Notamacropus eugenii: one gene and its partner. The protein of the gene in region 1 binds, or shares a complex with, the protein of each later gene. Links are inferred from orthologs where the notes say so. Each region holds a gene or a part of one and is shown in the gene's direction. Other genes may lie near its edges. The genes, in order: PHF20 and KANSL2.

Evidence for each region.
Region 2: PHF20 (region 1) and KANSL2 share a complex: the UniProt entries of both Homo sapiens proteins name them as parts of the NSL complex. The link is inferred for Notamacropus eugenii from reciprocal best matches to the Homo sapiens genes PHF20 and KANSL2.

Annotation. Positions count from the first base shown.
Region 1 is NC_092872.1:419,729,454-419,739,405, forward strand, and holds the start of PHF20 (PHD finger protein 20), read left to right. Parts: upstream 1-5,766; 5' UTR 5,767-6,927; intron 6,928-7,313; exon of another isoform or gene 7,314-7,400; intron 7,401-9,952. UniProt on the Homo sapiens protein: Methyllysine-binding protein, component of the MOF histone acetyltransferase protein complex.
Region 2 is NC_092874.1:220,435,646-220,445,610, reverse strand, and holds the start of KANSL2 (KAT8 regulatory NSL complex subunit 2), read left to right. Parts: upstream 1-6,024; 5' UTR 6,025-6,111; intron 6,112-6,420; exon of another isoform or gene 6,421-6,647; intron 6,648-6,716; exon of another isoform or gene 6,717-6,811; 5' UTR 6,812-6,819; coding exon 6,820-7,070; intron 7,071-9,965. UniProt on the Homo sapiens protein: Non-catalytic component of the NSL histone acetyltransferase complex, a multiprotein complex that mediates histone H4 acetylation at 'Lys-5'- and 'Lys-8' (H4K5ac and H4K8ac) at transcription start sites and promotes transcription initiation.

The DNA of each region.
Region 1 (9,952 bases):
AGCCTAGGCCTAGGGTTCCCGGAGGCGACCTGTCGACGTCCGCGCTGGGGCTTCCCGGCCTCAAGGCTATGGTGCAGGCCCTAAAACTCCTCGCCAACCTGCCCGAAGGCGGCCCAAGGCGCGGTAACTTCCCCTTCGGCCCCCAGGCCTTCCCTTCAGCTCGCCGGCTCCTCCGAGGCCACCCCTCCCCCTCCCTCTTCCCCTCCGAGGCCACCCCGGCGGCTCGGCGCGGCCGGAGGGAATCCGAGTTCCCTGGGCCCCCGGGCGGGGCCGGATCCGTGCATGAAGGAAAAAAAGGCTAGCGAAACGGAGAGTTAACAAAGCTATCGCCGAGCCCGCTTACCTGTGCGGGCTCTCAAGCAAGTGTGGTGCTCGCGTCTCGGGGAGGCGCCGCCGCTGTGGCTGCCGCCGGGGCTACTGTTAAGCCGCTGCGGCCTGGGCCCAGGCCGCGGTCCGTCCCGCCCGCCCAGCCCGAGTTTCGGGCGCTGAGGGCGGCAGGGCCGGAGCGGATCTAAAAGAGAATAATGGGATTAGAAGAGCCCGCGCGGGTGAAGCAGGGCGGCGGCTTGCGGCAAATCGGTATCCAACCGTGCGACAGTGACTGCAACTCCCTGAAATGGCGGCCGCTGCTTTCCCAGTCACACACACTCACGAACACACATATACACACACGCAAACACACACACAGACGGGGCCACACAGCGCCCCCAGCACGGGCTCTCGCGAGAAACTTCTCCGGCCACCGCGCTGACCCAATGAAGTATCGCGAGAAGTTACAGCGGCTAAGAAGCTGCTGCACAATCTCGCGCAAGAGTTGCGCCAGAGACGTGCCCCTCTCCTCCCTCCCCCGTCTCCTCCCCCTAGAAAGACAGACTCTAAATCTTCCCTCCCACCCACCCCATCCTGGGGAGGGTGAAAATCTCGCGAGAAAGGAAAGGCGCGACTAGTAGAAAGTCTGTTGGCTAGGTTGTAGTCCATCTTTTTTCGAGACCCCCCCAAGGCGAACGGTGTTTTACCGCCGCTGGGCTCCACCCAGCTTGGAGTGGGGGAGGGGTGGGACCAGGGTGGCGGGAGTTCTTTCCCCATCCGATTCCTTGCTCTCCAGATAAACTGTACGGCCAGAGCTCCGTGTGGTCTTAAGCTAAAAAGACCATTTTTTCCCCGTTAGCCAGTGAAATCCCAGTGGGGATGAGGAGCAAGGCAGGAAGACTAATGGGAAAGAAGAGCTGACGGGGGTGGGGGGGAGGGAAGGGCACGCGAGAACCGGGGCGGGGGAAGGGGGCGCGCGAGAGCCGAGAGCCGAGGGACGCGCGAGGAGGCTCTGCGCCGCTTAGCTTTGTCACTAGCTTGCGGCACCTGGCGGCGGTCCCAGTCGGGTCCCTTTCGAGGGGCCCCCTGGGGCTGGGCGGCGGCGCCGGAGAACAGCGCTCTTTCTGCTGCTCCGGCAGGAAGCTCCCCGAGCTCTTTAAACCTTTCTGCGGAAGAAGGAAGGCCTTGGCGGCTTGTGTCCACCTGTGCCCCGCCTCTCCTCCCGCTTCCTCCCCGCTGACCCCGTCCACAGATTTTCCTCTGGCCAGTCTCTAGGCAAAAACTTAAGAAAAGAACACCTCTTTACGTAGTTTTAGTTGCCAAGTAAATGTGGCTTCCCTCTTCAAAACAGACCGCCTCCTCCCAACGAGGAGGGTTTAACTGCAGTTAATATTTTGTGTGAATTCAGTGTTGGAGGAAACTGACTGGTGACTTTGTGTAAAGGTGATGCGGTTGTACTGATTTTATTGGCAATAACCCCCTTCCCTTCCTCCTCTTCCTAAGGCATCCGGCTCCTTATTGGAAATGTTACTCAGCGTTCTGGAGCAGGAGAGTGTAAAAGGAAGGAAAACAGCTTTGGCTCATTGGGTGTTTCAGACTGGATGTCAGAGATATCTCAGACTCGGTGATTCCCAAACAAAACTATCTTTCCCGGAAACCCAGATATCTTTTCCAAACTATCCATAACCTCAGCATTTTCCTCCCTCCTTCTTCATTCCAAGTATCTAATTATTGCCTGATCTTGTACCTTCTACTTCTGCAACATCTCCGAATCTGTTTGCTTCCTAAAATAGCCACCGCCCCGGTTCAGGCTCTCATCGATCACCTCGATTTGGTTATGGCGATGGCCTTTCACTAAATATTACCCCCAGTCTCTCAACCCAAACCCTCGCAGCTAGCCAGAATGATTTTCCTTGAGCACAGATCTGCAGTGTGTCATTTGACCATGTCACTGACCTACTCAAGCTTCTGTGGTTCCTTTTTATCTCTGTGATTCATATAAACTATGGCTTTTAAAAACTGCGTTTCTATGAAAAAACCAGATTGGTCTTCCTGTGCCTTACGCTTATGTCACTCCTGGTTCTTGGCCCTGGCTATTTCAAGTTTGTAATACATTCCCTTTTCCCCTTCATAGAATTCGACCCTTCCCTGTAGAATCATCTCAAGTTCTACAAAACCTTTTAAATCAACAAACTTTAAGTGCTAACTATACCCTAGGTATGCCACTAAGTACTGGAGGTGCTAAGTAAGGCAGAAATAGTCCAGGAGGCCCTGAGTTTACACAAACTGGTGAGAGAGTCATATAAATGCTTATAGTCATAACACCTACTTCATACAGAATAAGAGGTGTGGCTGAAATTGAGGGGAAGGGGATGGTGCATTTAGAGTTGGGGGGGGGCACACAGAGTATGTATCAAGAAGGCCTCCTGCAGAAGGTGATGTTCAAGCTGAATTTTGAAAGAAGCCAGCATGTCAAGAGGCAGAGGTGAGGAAGGAGATCATTCCAGGAATGGAGAGTCAGCTAGTTCCAAGGCAAGAGATGAATTATTTGAATAATAAGTTAACTCTCATACTGCCATCTACTAGTGCCAGGGTCCTCCCTCCCAAACTACTTTTGTATTTATTTTGCATTTATTCTAGGTATATCTGCATCTGTAATATGTATGTATGTGTGCATACACACATACACATGCATGTATACATACATATATACACACGTACATGTATGTGTATACATATATATACACACACACACAAATATTTTCTCCTCTGATAGTTCCATGAGAGTTGGAATTGTTTCTTTGTAGTTCACGTTGCCTATCACAGTTTCTGCCACATAACATATTTGATAAGTGCTATTTGATTGACTGTCAACTTTCTCTTTTTTTCCCCAAAATAGATGCATATAATTACAATCTAAGCAAGGACATCTGCTCACCTCATTTATTTAAATAGGGCATCTTAATTATTTATTTTACATATAATATAGGGTAAAGTTCCCTGCTCACAGTCACACAATTAGTAGTAAGTAGTAGAACTGAGTTTTGAACATGTTTTCTCTTACTCCAAATCCTGTCCTCTTTTAACTATAGATCCTTTTCTGCAATTGTGAAGAACCAAGGTGACTCAGAATTGAGCTTTATGGTACTGGATTAATGTTATCTAGAGGAAGAAACAAGTTTTCTGATTATCGAAGCCTTAGTTTATAGCACCCTTAAATCACTTCTCAGTGTACCTAGAAGACTTTGGCAATTTGGAAAAATACTACATTGATGAATGTGCCCTAAACAAAGACCAAAAAAAAGCCCCAAATCTAAGATGCTTCTTGCTTAATCCTTTGATTCTAAGTTTCAAAGGAAATAACATAAATCTAAACTTTTACTTTGTAAATCATTACTCTTTTTATATCATCTGGTATCTGTGTCTCCAGTCTGTGCTTTCTTAAAGAGGTATTCAATCATGCAGTTGGGAGGCTTTTGGGGTAAGAGGAAGAATGTGAAGGTATGTTTTGTGGTCAGCACTCTAGGCTCCTTAAAGTACAAGCAAGGGAACACATTACATTTTTAGAAACTTAGACATGGGAGATTTTACAGAGTAAACTGGATGAGGCACACAGAGTCAAAGAAAATGTGATCTTTAGGGGGAAGATGTTAAGAGTGGACTTAAGCATTTGATTACAGAGCTTGTAGGGCCTTTGGCCACTGGTTACATTAATTAGAATAGGATCTTTCCTATTTCCTCACCCTGGAGATGGCATAACCCAGTTGAGTATCTCCCATCACCCTATTTTCCCTTCTCCAGCAGTGTCCTTGCCTCTCTGTGGATGTATGGGCCCCCCCCCCCCCCCAATCTAAATTGACTGAATTTCTTAATGCTTGCTCTGGGTGCTGAAGTTGCTAGCTAGCAACTTTGAAGGAATGATAAGAGCTAGTACAGGAGAAAGTCATAGAAAAAAAGAACATTTTTATCCTGACTTTATGATAACAATGGCTCATATTACATGCAAGTCATAATAAAAAGAAACCTGATAACTATCACACAATATATTGTCAAAAACTTGTTTTTAATTAACCTTAATAAGAATCTATTGATAATGAATCTTAAGATGGCACAAATAATAACTTCTATAATATTTGTAAACATCTCATGCTATGAGAGAAAAGTATTATCACTTTCATTTTGCACAGGAAACTGAGGCCTAGGCTTATGAAGGAATTATTCATTGTTAATGTGGCTAGTGAGTGTCTTAGGGCAAAATTAGAATTCAGGTTTTCCTTACTTTAGGTCTACCTAATTACTAAGTTTAGAAAGTGGGATTTGGATTCAAGGCTCTCCCAACTCTTAAGTCCAGCACTTTTTCCACAACACCATATATGAAACCCTATAAAGCATTTCAAAGAAGAGTTCTCTCAGGGATTCTGAGCAACAAGTATGACATTCTCCGATTGTGCTTAAGATTACTGACCTTACAAAATGAGAATCCTTTAACACAGCTCCATTAAGTAGGATGTATACAAGATCAATATCAGTGGGAGAGTTAAGTACCTAGTAGAATTGATATTACAGTTGATACTGTAAGCTAGTAAGGGAGAAAAAATATCTTCAGGATACTGCTCACACTGGAGTCCTTGGAGGCAAAATTTGATAATTCTGAGGAAGCAAAAGCAAAGTAACTTGACATACCTTCTCACCTCTCAAGGAAGCCATTCCACTTTTAGATAGCTCTGATGGTTAGGAAGATTTTTTTTTCTTAAATCAAGCACATTAAGAGGAACATTTAGGTCTGATGTAGGAAAGAAATTCCTAGTAATTAACTAGAACTGTCTAAGGATGGGTTACTGGGAGGAGTAATGCATTGATTCAAGTTCTTTTAGCAAAGACTGCATGACCACTTGTTGGGTATGACATGGAGGAGATAACTGTTTAGTTTGAGTCAGAAGATAACTATCTTTAAAAAAAAAAGAGTCTCAGTAATGCAGAGTGAAGAAAGCAGAATTAGGAAAACAATATACACAATGACGACAATAATATAAACAGGAAGAACAAATGTAAATACAAAATGGCTCATATTACATACAAGTCATAATAAAAAGAAACTCGATAACTATCACACAACATATGGTCAAAACACTAATTATAGTGACCAAGCTTCTCACTAAAGAGGAAATGGGAAAATGTACTTCCTTTCCTTCTTTACAGAGGTGGAGAACTATGGGTGTGGATCATTGTATATACTGTCAGACTTGGTGAACAAATTGGTTAGTTTTACTGAAATGCTCCCTGCCCTCCTTTTCTAATTTTTGTTTCAAGAGATGACTCTCTGGATACTCATTATGGCAGGGACATATCAAAAATGAAGGAGATGCAAAAACAAGAGATCAGTTTTTAAAAAGAAGATGGATCTTGTAGAATCAATAATATTTAAGGACTTGAAAGAACCTTAGAGAACATGTTTTTCAATTCTTTTTGTTTTATTAGGAACCCAAAGCTCAGAGAGTTAAATGACTTGTCCAAAGGCTTATAAACTAAGTGATCAGGTTCTACTTAAGTATCTGAATAAAACATCCAACTTCAAATGTAACATTTTACTGTGCAGCCATTATAAGATCATTGTAAAATTAAGTTCATTGACCTAGATATCTTCCTCTGAAATTTGTATACAATTTGAATTTAATTTTCTATATTCATGCTGCTTTCCCCCACTAGTCTGTAGACTCCTTAGGGAAGAGACCATTTTGTCTTTGTATCCCTAGCCTTTGGTATCCAGTTCCTGAAATATAAGTAGTGTTAGTAAATGTTTGTTGAACTGAATTAGAAACAAAAAATAAAATTAGTTTTTTCAAGAAACAAATCTGGGTTTTAGTTCCAGTTTTGTCATTTACTAGCTGGGTGGACATGTCTAGATCAAAAAACCTCCCTGGGCTTCAGTTTCCTCCTCTATAGAGTGGGGATGAGAATGATTGGAGCTTCCTTCACAGGGTGCGAGGAAAGTTTTGCTTTGTAAGATGTAAAGGAGTGTGGAGCTTTTAATTATCTTTTTGTGCACTAACCCACATCCCCGGGCTGTGAGAACCTTCGGAAAGACTAATTGGCTCTGTTGCCTTTCCGTGACATCTCCACCACTGACTCAGTGACCTGTCAAAGTCAGGACAAACCAAGAAACTGGCAACATCTTAACATTGTATCCCCAGCTCCCTTCAGTTACACTTTCAGATGCACACTGGATCTTGTACATCAGGATGGTCCTAGACTCTCGGGTTAGCCCGGAAGCCTCCAGCTGGCCAGCTGGGCAGTCCTAAGCAGTCATGAACTTAACCTCCGAGAGCTTTCTCATTAGTGAAACAGACGGTAGAGCCAGGAACGCCTTAGCAAGGCTGCGTAAGGCTCAAACAGCATTTTGTAAAGCTGAGGGCATACACATCATGGGTCCAGTTACCTCGCGAATTTGTTATGGGGTGCAACGAGATTTAGGGCTGGAAGAACTGAGACTTAGTTGCCCGACACGGGGACAATGATTTGGTTTATCCACGACGGCGTTTCGAGGAAGGTCCACTTCACAAAGCGCTGTGAATTTAGGGTGACTTGGATGTGAGCGAGTTCTCATCTCTCCAGTCCCAGGTATCCGAATCGCGCGGTCCGATTCACGGGGCTTTGGCCACACACTTCAGAGCGCCGTGTCGTGCCCACTATTCGTGGTTTCACGGCTGGACTTGGGTTTTTTTAGGACGTCCACTTTGCACATTCTGTGGCGTCGAGTGGGACTCCGAACTGCGCTGGGAAGGAGGGTCTCCATGGCAACTCCGGGAGTCGCGGCGCGGGTTTGGGGAAGGTGAGGGACCAGGCGAGGAAAGTGAAGTGGGGGGAGAAAAGGGGGCGGGGGGCGGGGCTCCTTCGGAGGATCGGGCGCGTGGGCCGAAGGAGCTGCGTCACATAGCGGTGGCGGTGCTTGGGGTGGGGGGTAGGGAGGGGAGGAGCGGAGAGAACGAGGGGGGGAAGGCTGGGCGCGCCCCTCGCAGGTCACGTGATGCCGAGCACGCAGTCGTCTTCTGTCCGTTGGTCCTGGAGCGGCGCAGCCGGAGCGGGGCCGTGAGGTGAGCTCGCGGCCAGGATGGGAGGCCTGGCCGCCTGCGGGGTGGGGGCGGGGGGCGGGGGTGGGGGATGAGCTCTGGAACTCTGGGCCCGAGGCTCCCCTGGCTTCCCTCCGCCCAATCCCGCTGCCCACCCGCACCGCGGAGGCCAGGGCACTTCTGCCGGGAGCGTGGCGGCGTGAGAGCGGCGCCCAATCTCCGGGGCGCCGGGGGGACTGACGGCGGGCTCGGCCAATCGGCGCCGCCCCGATGGGGGCTGGTACGCGGCGCCGCGGGGAGCGGAGCGCGGGGCTGGCTGGCGGGGGGAGGGGGCCACGGCCGAGCGGGGCCACTTCCCTCCCGCATCTGTTGTGTGCAGCTTCGGCTCGGGAAGATTCCCCCCCTCCCTTGGCTCCCCTCTGCCCCTTCGCGGGCGGTGCACCCCTCTTTGCTCCAGGAGGGAATGTGCCCCCCCTTCACTCTTCTTCCCCATGGGGGAGTGCGCTCCCTTTACTTGTCTCGTGGGAGGAGTGTGCCCCCCCTTGGCTCAGTCCTTTTTCGGGCGGGGAAGTGCTTCCCCCCTTTCCTCTATTGGAGGAGTGCGGTCCCCCCCATCTCTTTCTCATAGAGGAAGTGCTTCCCCCTCTTTCCTAAGCTCTTTTCCGCACGGCGAAGTGCGCCTCCCCTTTTGCTAATCCCCTTTTCCTCCTAGAAGTGGCCCGTCTTTGCTTAGCACTTGCCCTTGGCGGGGAAATGCATCCCCGTCTGTTTCTCAGGTCTTCCCCTTTCCCCCCTCCTTTTTGGGACTACATTCCCCCCCATTCCGTGGCCCCCGCTCACAGTGATTCTGGGGAAACGCAGACAACCTCCGAGCCCCGTGATTTCCAGAGCGGAGCAGGGCCCCTTTCTGGCTTCTCCGCCCTGGTGCCCTGCTAGGTGTAGGCAGTCCAGGTTGGCCGCAGCTCCAGCCCGGGCCCCCTGCTGGGTTGAGGTAACTGCCTCTATGCTGCCCGAGGCGGTCTGGAGTCAAGGACGAGCTGCTCTCCGAGCTCAGATTCATTCGGAATTGAAACGATTGGAGTTGGGAAGAGCCACTCTTCTCCCCACCCATCTGTGGTGGGAAGCCATCCCTGCTTCCTTCACCTGGATTTTTACGAAATCTCAGATTCTCTAGCCCAGCATCTTGCATACTGGGCTCTTCTCCACGTGTCCTCTGCCCCTTCTCACCAGGAAGAAATCCCAGAAGTGCCATTTGGCGGCAGCTTGTCCAGTTTCACCCCTGGACAACTTCGGGATAACATTTCATCTTCTACATTGGAGGAATATGAAGTATTGGCTGTGACGAGATTCCTTTGCCGTTTGCTGGCCAGTTTGCCTCCACCTCCCTTTTCCCATTAAGACCCTACCTCTTCAGAGATGGTGAAAGCTTCCTGTATTTTAGTAAAATATTCCTCCAGCATTCTTAGTTTCTTCCCTTCTTTGCCTGCTTTCTCCCCAATCTTATAAGAAACTATAAAAAACTTTAAATTAACCAGTATTTTCAGAATTAATATTCTGAAATGGCATATTAATAAAATGTGGGTTATATGTGCATGTTGACCATATAACCGTAAATTATAATAAATTGAAATTTTAAATCAGATCACTTACATCATTAGGGAAGAGTGGTGTTATATTTTAGTTATTTCTGAGCCATGACTGATAAAGTATTATGTATGAAAAGTGCCTCTGGATTCTGTCTCTGACTTAAATCTGTGGATTAAGCCATTCTGTATTTCTTCTCTATTATGGGATGCTCTAGCCTTAAAGCACTTTACAAAGGCCAGTTTTTTTTGTTAGATATTAGATGGTAGAGATAAGGTAAGATAGGAGTTAGCAATTGTTTTTTCTCCTTTTCTGACTAATCCACTTCTACTTAGTTTTAGAAAAATCAGTCAAAAGTTCTCTAATAGTTTGCCATGAGTGCTGTCAAAATTGTAAAACGTCTAAATATTTCCTTTTGTATAATACAGTGACACTATATCTCAATACATTTTATTATGTTAAAGTCAGTTAATAAAATTATTCTTTGTCATAAGTTACAAAAATTTTGTGTATTTTTATTTCTCTAATAGTAAATTTTGTGGAGGCCAACATCTTGGGAATAATGAACTGTTTGGGGACTGTTTTTGATTTCTCAACATTCTTCTGTGTGGCATAGGACCATCACCCTTCCATATTTGACAGATGAACAGGCAGCACTTCCCAAGAGGGTCTTCTGAATTTGTGAGAGTTTGGCACAGAAATGAAGCCAGTTGAGAAGAAAGGGAACTAGAAAGCTCTATATTGAAGGGTATTTGATATATTAGCTTTCTAATGCTTTACAGGAAAGTGAAATTTCTTAAGAGAGACAGTGGCACCCTCCCCTGTTCATGAGAACATGGAGTTCAGAATGAGAAAGAAAAAAAACAGGGTCAGAACCTGAGAAGGCACTTTAGAGATTGTCTAGTCTAACCCATTAATTTTACTGGTGAGGAAATGGACTCAGAGAAAGAAAATAGCAATGTGGCAAGCTGTCTGTAATTCTATTGGAGAAA
Region 2 (9,965 bases), on another chromosome or scaffold:
CAGAAAAGAGTTAAGTTTCCACAGAATTACTAGTTGATGAAGTCACTGAGAATAAGTCAGATAATAAGAAAGCTAGCAAACTGCAGGTGGACTCAATCAGTCATGCGACAGACAGTGGCCGTCAGAAAATCACAAAGTTCTTGATAAAGGGGACCAAGTTTGAAAGCAGCCTAAACCAGGTGAGGAAAATGACCAAGAATGACCAGGAGAAAGCTTTGCTTCACTGCACTTGCTTAATGAACCTCATGTATATTAACTTCTCTGCCCAAGGGGGAGAGATAGCACAAAATTAGGCACAATTCATATGTTGGGGGGGGGGGGGAACATATCCAGGAGATATGTAATAGGCATGTAGAGAAGATGGTGACCTAATGGAGAATGGACCAATCCATCTCCTGATGGGAGGATCTGTCCTGAACTAACAGTATATAGCTCATCTTACTTCTGTATTTAGTGCTCTCCCTTCCTAAAGAGGGACTGAGCCTACTTTTGGCCAGAGGTGTTCAGTTCCTCTGAACTCTGCTGTAATAAATTTTGCTTGATACCTTTTGTTTCTAACCTTTACTATGTTTCTAACATACCCAACTTTTGTACTGTTCACCAGCCTCAGTCTGGGGGTGGGGTGGGGAAGTGGTGAGGGACAGAGCTAGGAAGAATTTCCTCGAGTCTACTGTGTAAATGGAACAATAATAGGAAAGGAAAATTGCCCAAGTCTATTTCCTCAGAGGAGCTTTGAGAGAAGATTTCTCCTTAGAAACTTCCCTCCTTCCTAACACAGTTCACTCATCTGTGCTCAGGAGAATCTATAACAGAGTAGATTCTTGTAGCTTAATCTTTTCCTTGCTTTGGAAGTTAAAATAATACTTATAAATTGTCTCTTTGGTTCATTTAGAACTCCCAGCAGGGAATTCTTCTTTCTCTCAATATAATCAAAAATATTCCTCCTCTTAACTGCTCTTTAACAAATAAAATCCATACCAACCAATAATGTATTGGATTAACTGCAATTTTATCTTTTAAAATTGTTTATTAATTTTTAAGATTTAACATTCATTTTTTAAAATTTTGAGTTCCAAATTCTGCCTCTCCAACCCCTCCCCTCCATGAGAAGGCAAGCATTACAATATCAATTATACATGTGGAGTCATATAATGCCAATGCAATATCCATAGCAGCCACTATGAATATTGCATGCATATTTCTAGCGTAAATTCACAAAATATAAATAACTCTCTTCCTCAAAGATGAAACCAAGATATTTATTCAGATACCAGAAAGCCAAATCCACCTTGGTAACAAAGAAGTTGACACACATCACTAATGCAGGGAGCATCCACATCCCCAAGCCTTCCTTCCATTAGGCCTCCCCACAAACAAGCCGGTCATACAGTCTTCTACCTTAAGTGATTCTACAAAGCGATGCTCTGGAGAATTCATAGGACCATAGATTTATATCTGAAAGAGACCTTAGAAGCCATTTAATCAAACGCTCTCATTTTACAGATGAGGAGCTGAGGTTATGTGCCTATGGTTACACAGCCAGCAAATGTCTGAGGCAGGATCACTATTCTATCCACTACACTATGCTGCTTCTCAACTGAGATGTAGCACCGAATAAAAGGACAAATATGCAAATTATCAGGAACGACATTAATAACCTTCCATTTGCCAGCTGACACGCAACTACATACCACTAAATGTTGCAGTTAGGATTATTAAATAGTAGCCTTACATTGTACATACAACAGATAGAAGAATTGGCACAGAGGGTTCAAAGGGAATAAAAAACTAAAAACAATACAAAAAAACTAAATACAGAAATAGGTTAAAACAAAAATCAAATTAAAAAATTCAGTGACAGAAAAGACAAGACAGAAATGATGCAGAAAATATCACAAAAAGAAGAGTGTACAGGAGGAATGTGTTAAAATTATAAAATCTAACAGACAACTTTCCCCAATAATGGCTAAACCAGTGAGCTAAATTAAATTGTTTCAAATCAACAAAGGGAAATTGAAATGAGCATGAAAATGAACAATAAAAATGATCAAAAATAAGATGTTCAGTAACAATAATACCACAGAATTCTGCTTAAAAGAAGCAAGTGGAAAGAACTAATAAAATATTTAAACGCCCAAGTGGAGAAAAAAATTAAAAGTTAAAAATAGAAAAAAGATCCCAAGATAAGATTTCACTTGTGGCTATGGGGGCTGGAATGAGGACTGAAAAGAACTAGTTCCTCCCTCTATCTGACCTTCCTTTACTTTCAGTGAATACAGCCATTCCACTCTCTCCACCTCCCACCCCCTCCCAACGTCTCCTTTCAGTCTTAACTCTAACCTAGCCTTCTGCCAAGTTGAGACAAGGATGGGTATTTCCTTGAACCTGCTGTATGAACGGAAACCAATAGGAAAGGAAAATTGTCCAAGGCCCTCCCAAACCTTCTCTGGAGAAAGCTTCAGTTTACAAAGACTCTTCCCCTCTAATTCTATTAACTCATTTGTACCCAGGGGAATCCTTGATAGTCTGGAAAAAAATTATGTGGCTTAATCTGTTTCTCTGCTTTGAGGAATTGAAATAATGCCTTTAAAAAAAAAATCTCTTTGGTTTTGTTCCAAGATCCCACCAAATAAATCTCTGGCAATTTAGAGTTTCCTTCTCTCAATCTGTGTTGACCATAACTTCACTCTGGATGGTTCTGAGCAAATGAAATTCATAGTGTGTTGGATTAACCTTGGTTTTATATTAATGTAAGGCTTTAGAGACCAGGTGAACAGAAATTTAAAACATAAACTTAATATAAACTTAATATAAATATAAACTTAAAGAAAAGAGATGATGTTGGGATCTCCCCAGGAGATAGAAGGGAGAGGGGGATTCCACCATCTGTAATTCCTTTCAAATGAAGATAGCTGCAGTATTTTCTGCAGTGATTCTGGGTAGTTTCACGTTTCACTCCTGCTTACGGCAGCAGCTGCAATATCAATGTTATCCTTAGACCTAGATCTCGCTCAATTTGTGGAAAAAAACAAAACCCAGAACTAACCACAATAGTCTTGTGTTGCCCCAGTGGAGGGAGTGGAATTAGAAGAGTGAAGTGCAGTGGCAGCCCTCTTGCTTTCACACACAGCTGAAGGTTTTCTTGTTTGTTATAGCATGCTCTGGGATCATTGGCTACCCCCTGACAAACTTCTTTCCTTTCCAGGGATTCTGGCTTCTTGTTATCTTTAAGATGGATGGAGGAAAAAGACTGCCTTTTCAGTTACAGTCATAGCCCCATGACTCCAAGGGTTCATACAAAGAGGTACTAGGGTACTAGGGACTTCATATCCACCACCATCAACTGATCGCCAATGTTTCCCTACACATATAGGTATATATAAATTAGATACAAATTAATTAGGTTGATGGAAGGGATACTGACTGGTTTTATGTTGTAACACTGTTACAATGATAGCTTTATTTAAAGCCCAGGAAGCAATATAATGGCCCCTGAGGAAATATAGGAAAATTTATGAATTCAGTTATTATCCTTCTGAGGCTCCAGTTAGGAAAATTCCCAACATTTAGGCAGATGTTGGGAGTTCTGCCTCATGTTATATTTATAGCTATCTCTAGTTAACCCTTGACCTCTTTGTGATTGAGACAAAATGCAGCACACTGGAAACTTTTGGGTAATGAAAACAGGAAATTATGTCACATGAATAGAAAAGCACTGGGGAATGATGTTGTGGAAAGAAGAGAGTTTTTCTTGTGACTTCCCCCAGCCTGGATATTCCACTCTTCTCCTGCCTTTGCTCATCAGAGGTGTGCTGGAAAAGCCACATGTTCTCAACTCACTTGCTAATTTATAGACAATCCCTGAGGCACAACCATTTTCCCCAGCCTATTGGAACTGAGTTCCTTTTTGACATTATTACACTTTCATCCAGTAGCTTTCAATGATTTTTCACATTTAGTTGAAGTGATTTGATTGATTTATTAATATGTATTCTCACCTAGTTAAGGCATCAGAGCTAAAATGGGGTGAAGTAATTTCAAACCCACACTTAAAATGTAAAAGGTGGAGCTTCAGCTGAGCTGGAAGAAAATTGGAATTCTAAGACCTGGAGGTGAGGAGGGAGTTCATTCCCAGTATCCAGGACAGCTCCACAGAGATGGAGTGCTATCGACCAGTAAGGAATAGTAGGAAGGGCTATTTGAATTGCTTCAGTGTGCAGAAAAGGCAATGTATAAAAAGGCTGGAAAGGTACATGAGGACCAGGTTGTGGAGGGCTTTATACATGGCAAATGGAAGAGTGTAGTCTGTGGATCCATGTTGTTACCAATGTGGGCACTTCCTCCATCATGCAGATTGTAGCCTTTCCATGTCCTTTCATCCTGTGCAGATCTTGTCCATATTTTCCTATAAATTTTTCATTGGAATCTAATGTGCCCTCCTCTTGCCCTTTTTAACCTCCTATGTGTACCTTAGAAACATTCAGACTCTCCAGCTGTTAAGAGTAGCCCACCTCCTTGTCTGTTCATGCATTTTTGGGATGGTGTCTTAATTCCCATCAAAAGTCTCTCCATTGCCATTTACATGACCTACAGCTTTTTATTTTTCAGGGGTTGTGATGTTTCCTGATTTTTAGCTGAATTTATATAGCACTGAAACAAGGTTTTTTGGGAAAAGCGCCTTAGTTATATTTGTTTGATCTTCACAAATAGTGCAGGAATGTAGCCAGTTTAGAGGTGATGGCCTAGGAAAGAACTGAGGGGTGGAGGGAGTAGAGGGATGGGATTAAGAATAGTTATGAACTGATGGCAAAGGGAAGTTGGAATGACAGACGGTAATCAGAGAAGTGAATTTCCAGGCTCATAAGCACAGAAATTGAATGCCTGATAGCAAGATGAAGGGCATGACCAACCCTGGGTGGAGGTAAGGTGGTATGATTATTGGAAATGGCCACTGGACCAACTGGTCATTGGAAATGAGTAGAGGAATTTCGAGGTTAGGGTGTTTAAGGCAATATCAATGTGTTCAAAGTTCATTAGTATGAGGCTGGAGCTGAGGAAGGAACAGCTTGCAGCCTGGAAAGCAGCCAGGTGTCATGGAGGTCAGAAGACAGCAGTCACCAGAATCTCTTTTGGGTGATATAGACTGGATGAACCTCAGAAGAAAAGCTGCTAAATGATGGTGGTAGGAGAGACTGGAAGGAGGAAAGGGGAATATTCCAATTCACCTGGAAAGGGTGGCCAGGGTCCCTGTTAGGAGCTTCTTTCACGGATGTCCATAAAATGAAGGTAGTCGTGGTGCCTCCTTTCACAGGGTTACCGTGGAAACCAAATGAGATATTATGTTGTGCTGCAGAAATATTATTAATATCATTTGCATTATTGATCTACATTTTTTCTCTGTGTGGCGTGCTCGGCCTTTTTGAGTGCCCATGGATCTTACTGAGGACCCAGAGCAGTATAATGGGACCAAGCCGAGCACCGGAATGGACAGGGACCATTCCTGTGGGGGAAACCTCTTTTTTGGTTATTTATACTGCCTAGAGGGCTGAGAATCTGGACGTCTTTGTTTCGGCTCACACGCAAATATGTCAGGAGTGGGACCTGCGCCCTGGTCTTCCGACCTTTCAGGCCGGGTTTCTACCCACTGCACGCGGCTGCCCGTCTGCAGTCACGGTGGGTGGATGATCGTGCCAACACACAGCGTTTGGCCAACTTTTATTAAGGCCCACGTGGCGCCGAGGGGAAGTTACAATGTAGCGCCTCCCTCTCGGGAAACTCCCAACGGAAGTCCCTGCTGCAGTCCGGTACCTAGTTAATAGCCGGCGCGGGCTCCGCGGAACCTTCAAAAGCCCGCGAACCTTTGATCCTCTCTGGCTCACCCTCCCACCAGCTTTAACGGCAGAGAAACGATCCGTTCCAGCCACCCCCACCCCCACTCCCACTCCATTTCCTCCCAGGGCAACACCCTCCCAGGTCTGACGGACGTGAGCATTCCGCCAATGGTGTGGCGGCACCCTCCAGCCAAGGAGCCAATCGACCGCTAGGGGGCGGGGCCAGCTGAGCTAGAGGGCGGTGGGGCGCCACTTGAGGACTAGCAGCCAGGCCGTAGAGGTAAGATGGCGGCGTCAGCTGGTTTACTCTTCTGGTGGCCGGACGGCACCTTTGTCTTTCTCCTTTCGGCTCCATCGGGGGCCGAGACTTGAGCTTAGGTGGCGGCGACCTTTGACGGGGCTTTAAAATTTCTTTTTTTCCCATACCTGGCCCATCCCTCTTCGAAAAGGATTCTGTGGACTCCCTGATCCCTGGGTCAAAATGGCGTTCGCTGGAGTCTCCGTGGGCAGGCTGGGGTCCGGGTGGGGGGAGGGTCGGGCTCGGCAGGGGGGCGGGGCAAAGCCGCGGGGAGGGAGCCCGAGGGCGCGGTGCTGGAGCCGGCCTCGCGAGACTGGGGAGGGCGGGCGAGATCCTCGAGAGCTGGCTTGGTTTTTTTCTTAAGAAAGGGAGCTGGGGAGAGCGAGGCCCGGGCAGCCGAGCCAGCGCACATGCGTGGTAGTGGAGGCCCCTCGAGAAAGGGAAGCCGCGGGAGAAGCCGAGCTCTCGAGTAGTTCAGGCAAGACTCCGGGGGCTGGCCCGTAGTAGGCCGGCTTGGGGTACGTGAGACAGGCTTTGACCTTAGTTCTTTTTCTTAAAAGGAGAAGCGCTGCTTCTTGAGTTGTGAATGTCGGGGCTTGGCTGGGAGTGGGGGAAGGGCCACGGAGGCGGCTTGGGCACCCTGACCTCTCCGCGTGCGGTGTCTCCCCTCTTCCCTCCGCAGGTGTTGGTATGAACAGAATTCGGATCCACGTCCTGCCATCGAATCGGGGGCGCGTCAACCCAGTGCCCAGGTCCCAGGAGCCGCTGTCTTGTTCCTTCTCACACCGCCCATGCTCCCAGCCCCGGCTCGAAGGGCAGGAGTTTTGCATTAAGCATATCCTTGAAGACAGGAATGCCCCTTTCAAGCAATGTAGCTACATATCCACCAAGAATGGGAAGAGATGCCCCAACGCCGGCCCCAAGCCCGAGAAGAAAGATGGGTTTGTGGCTTTTTGTCTGTTTGATCGGGCTTCGTTTTGGGGGAGGGTTTGACGAGGGAGCGGTGTGGGGGTTTTTCCGTTGTGGTGCCTTGGGGTGTAGAGACGGCGAGCTGAAGGCGGTGGGTGCTGGCTTTTCTAAAGTGACCCTGGAGCTGCTGAATGTTTTATTAGGCGAGGTAGAATGTTTGCTGTGTCTCAAACTTTTGTTAATAACGAGCCCATGTGACTAACGTTGTCCGTCTTTGTGTGTGTCTTACCACCGGGGTAACCTTCACTTCTTACGCTCGTAGAAAATAAGGTGAGGAAATGCTTTGAACTCTTTCCCAGAAAGGTGTTATGTAAATAGTGAGTCACCTTATGGTAAGGAATTTGTAGTTAGTTTGGAGAATTTATCTTATTTTCCTGTACAGGCTTTGTAATCCACTTGTTACATTTTTACTCAGTGTCCCTCATATATAGGCTGTAGGTAACGTATAGGGGTGGCAAGCTGAGTAAAAGAAGCATGGCCATGTTCTTGAGACACTTTTAGGTATTTTTCTTCAAGATTGAACCAGATGATCCTCAGGTTGGTATTGGGAAAGTGTGAATGACATAACTGATTGCGGTAAAATTAAGTACTGTGCTCAAAATGTTTATTTATACATATATACACATACATATTTATATATATAGATAGTACCTTATTTGCGTATGTTGCTAATGCTAATTATCTTTAAGACTTTTTTCAGAAGTTATGATCGAGATACCTTAATTGTTGATCTTGATAATCTCATCATCTGTATCAAAACAAATGTCTTTTTTCTGAGTCTTCATTTATTTGCATAGATTCAGCCATATAGTTCATTCAGTCTCTCCTTTGATTAGTTATTTGCATTGGCTATTGCGTAGGGTTTCACTATCATGAGGTGAAGCTAAGTGATCTTTTTGAAAATTAACCTTCTGATTTTTTTCTTCATTGCCATATATTTTTCTTTATTGTCCAGAGGCTTGTACTTATATTAGTCCTTGAAAATTACCTTACCAGTCATTCTCACCCATAGCATAATTCTATTGAGAAAATATTTTTTTTTAATTGCAAAGGCTTAACTTTGCTCCCGCCCCATTCTGAGAGCTGTTACTTTTAGCTTAGCATGGAGTGTTGTCTGAAATTGTAATTACTAAGAACAAAAAGGAAGTATTTTACAGGTATGCTCAAAGCAGGAAATATCATTAAGGTGATTTTTTTTTTTTTAATCAAGGAATGGTGAAGAAGGGGGTTGGAGAAGGTGGAAAAGTATTCTTGGCACAAAAATTACAAGAATGCAGTAACAAACTAATGTGATGTTCTGTGTAAACACCAGGTTAGATGAAACAGTGTTGTGGGGCAGTTAGTTACATGGAAATGATGTTATAAATGGGTCACTGGATGACTCAGAAAAAGTTTGATGAATTTTAGTGGGGATTATTTATGATGAATTAACTAAAGTTACTTTGCAGTGATTTCAGGGCAGTGTTGAACATCAGTTCATCAAGAAACATTAAGTTTTTCTATGTGCCAAGGATTGTGCTGAATATTGTGGATGCAAAGAAAGGCAAAATTAATCCCTGCCCTTCAGAAATGTACGTTTTAGTGAAGACAACATCTAAATAACTAGGCACCTAGGAGATATTTACTGTACAGAGTAGATGAAAGTTATCCCAAAGGGAAGGGACCAGTAGCTAAAGCATCTGAGAAAGGTCACCTAAAGAAGTAGGGCTTGAACTCTGTCTTAAAGGAAGCCAGGGAAACTAAGAGGCTAAGGTGAGGAGACAGTATTCTAAGCATGGGGAACAGTAAGTGCAAAGGCACAGAGGTAGGTGATGGAGCATTACCTTGGAAAAACAATAAGTAGGCCACACTAATGAAAGAAACCTGGAAAGATAGGAAGGAGTCTGATTATAAATAGATGCTTTACATGCCAATCATATTTGATTCCAGAGGTAAATAGGGATCCACTGGGCTCATTGAGCAGCAAGGGGGATATGAAAAGGTCATATCAGACTTGGGCTTTAAAAAATATCACGTGGGCAGTTTAATGGAGGATGGGTTGGAATGAGAAGAGGCTTGAGGTGGAGGGATAAGCAGTCGGAAGCTATTGCAGTAGTGCAGACAAAAGGTGATGGAAGGCCCTGACTGGGGTCATGTCTGAGTGAGGGAATCCTGCAGGACTGAAGACCTTTATAGTATTTTTTTCTGTTTCATGGATCACTGGCTAGTTGGATGTGATCTGTTATTTTCCAACTTGAAGAGCATATTGGCCTATGAAAGACATATTTTGGAAAAATCAGAATCACTTCTACACTACAATGAAACATTGTTATTAGGAGTTAATAATATCCTTGCTTCTCAATCTCCTTTCATAGTGTAATTTAAGATCATTTCCTCTCAATTCTCTTCCTGTAATTAACAGTTAATTAAAATTTGAGTATCTATTGTGTGAAGAATGACACACACTTTGGGTAGGATATGAAAGGATTAGAAGTTCTATTTCATGCCCTCTGAGATTTTATGATCTTAATATGTCAAAAGGTACAAAATTTGAGAGTAACTACCAAGTAACATGTTAGCAAGTACAGAATGGCAAGATAAAAATGCTGAAATACAAGTAAGCCAATCTAGGAAGGCTTCTTACAAAATTATATTTTGAGTGAGCTTTTCTCATTCATTCGTTTAATGGTACTATATTAGTACCATTGTACTAGCTGCTGTAGGGGATGCAAAGATGCATTACACAGGTGTTTCCCTCCAAAAGCTCACAATTTAGTTCAGAAGAGTTTGTGCACATGCATACATGCACGTACTGGGACCCCAAATCTTGGGACCTTCTCTTAGTCCTCATCCTTCATCTCTGCAGCACTGACGCTGCAGGATGACGC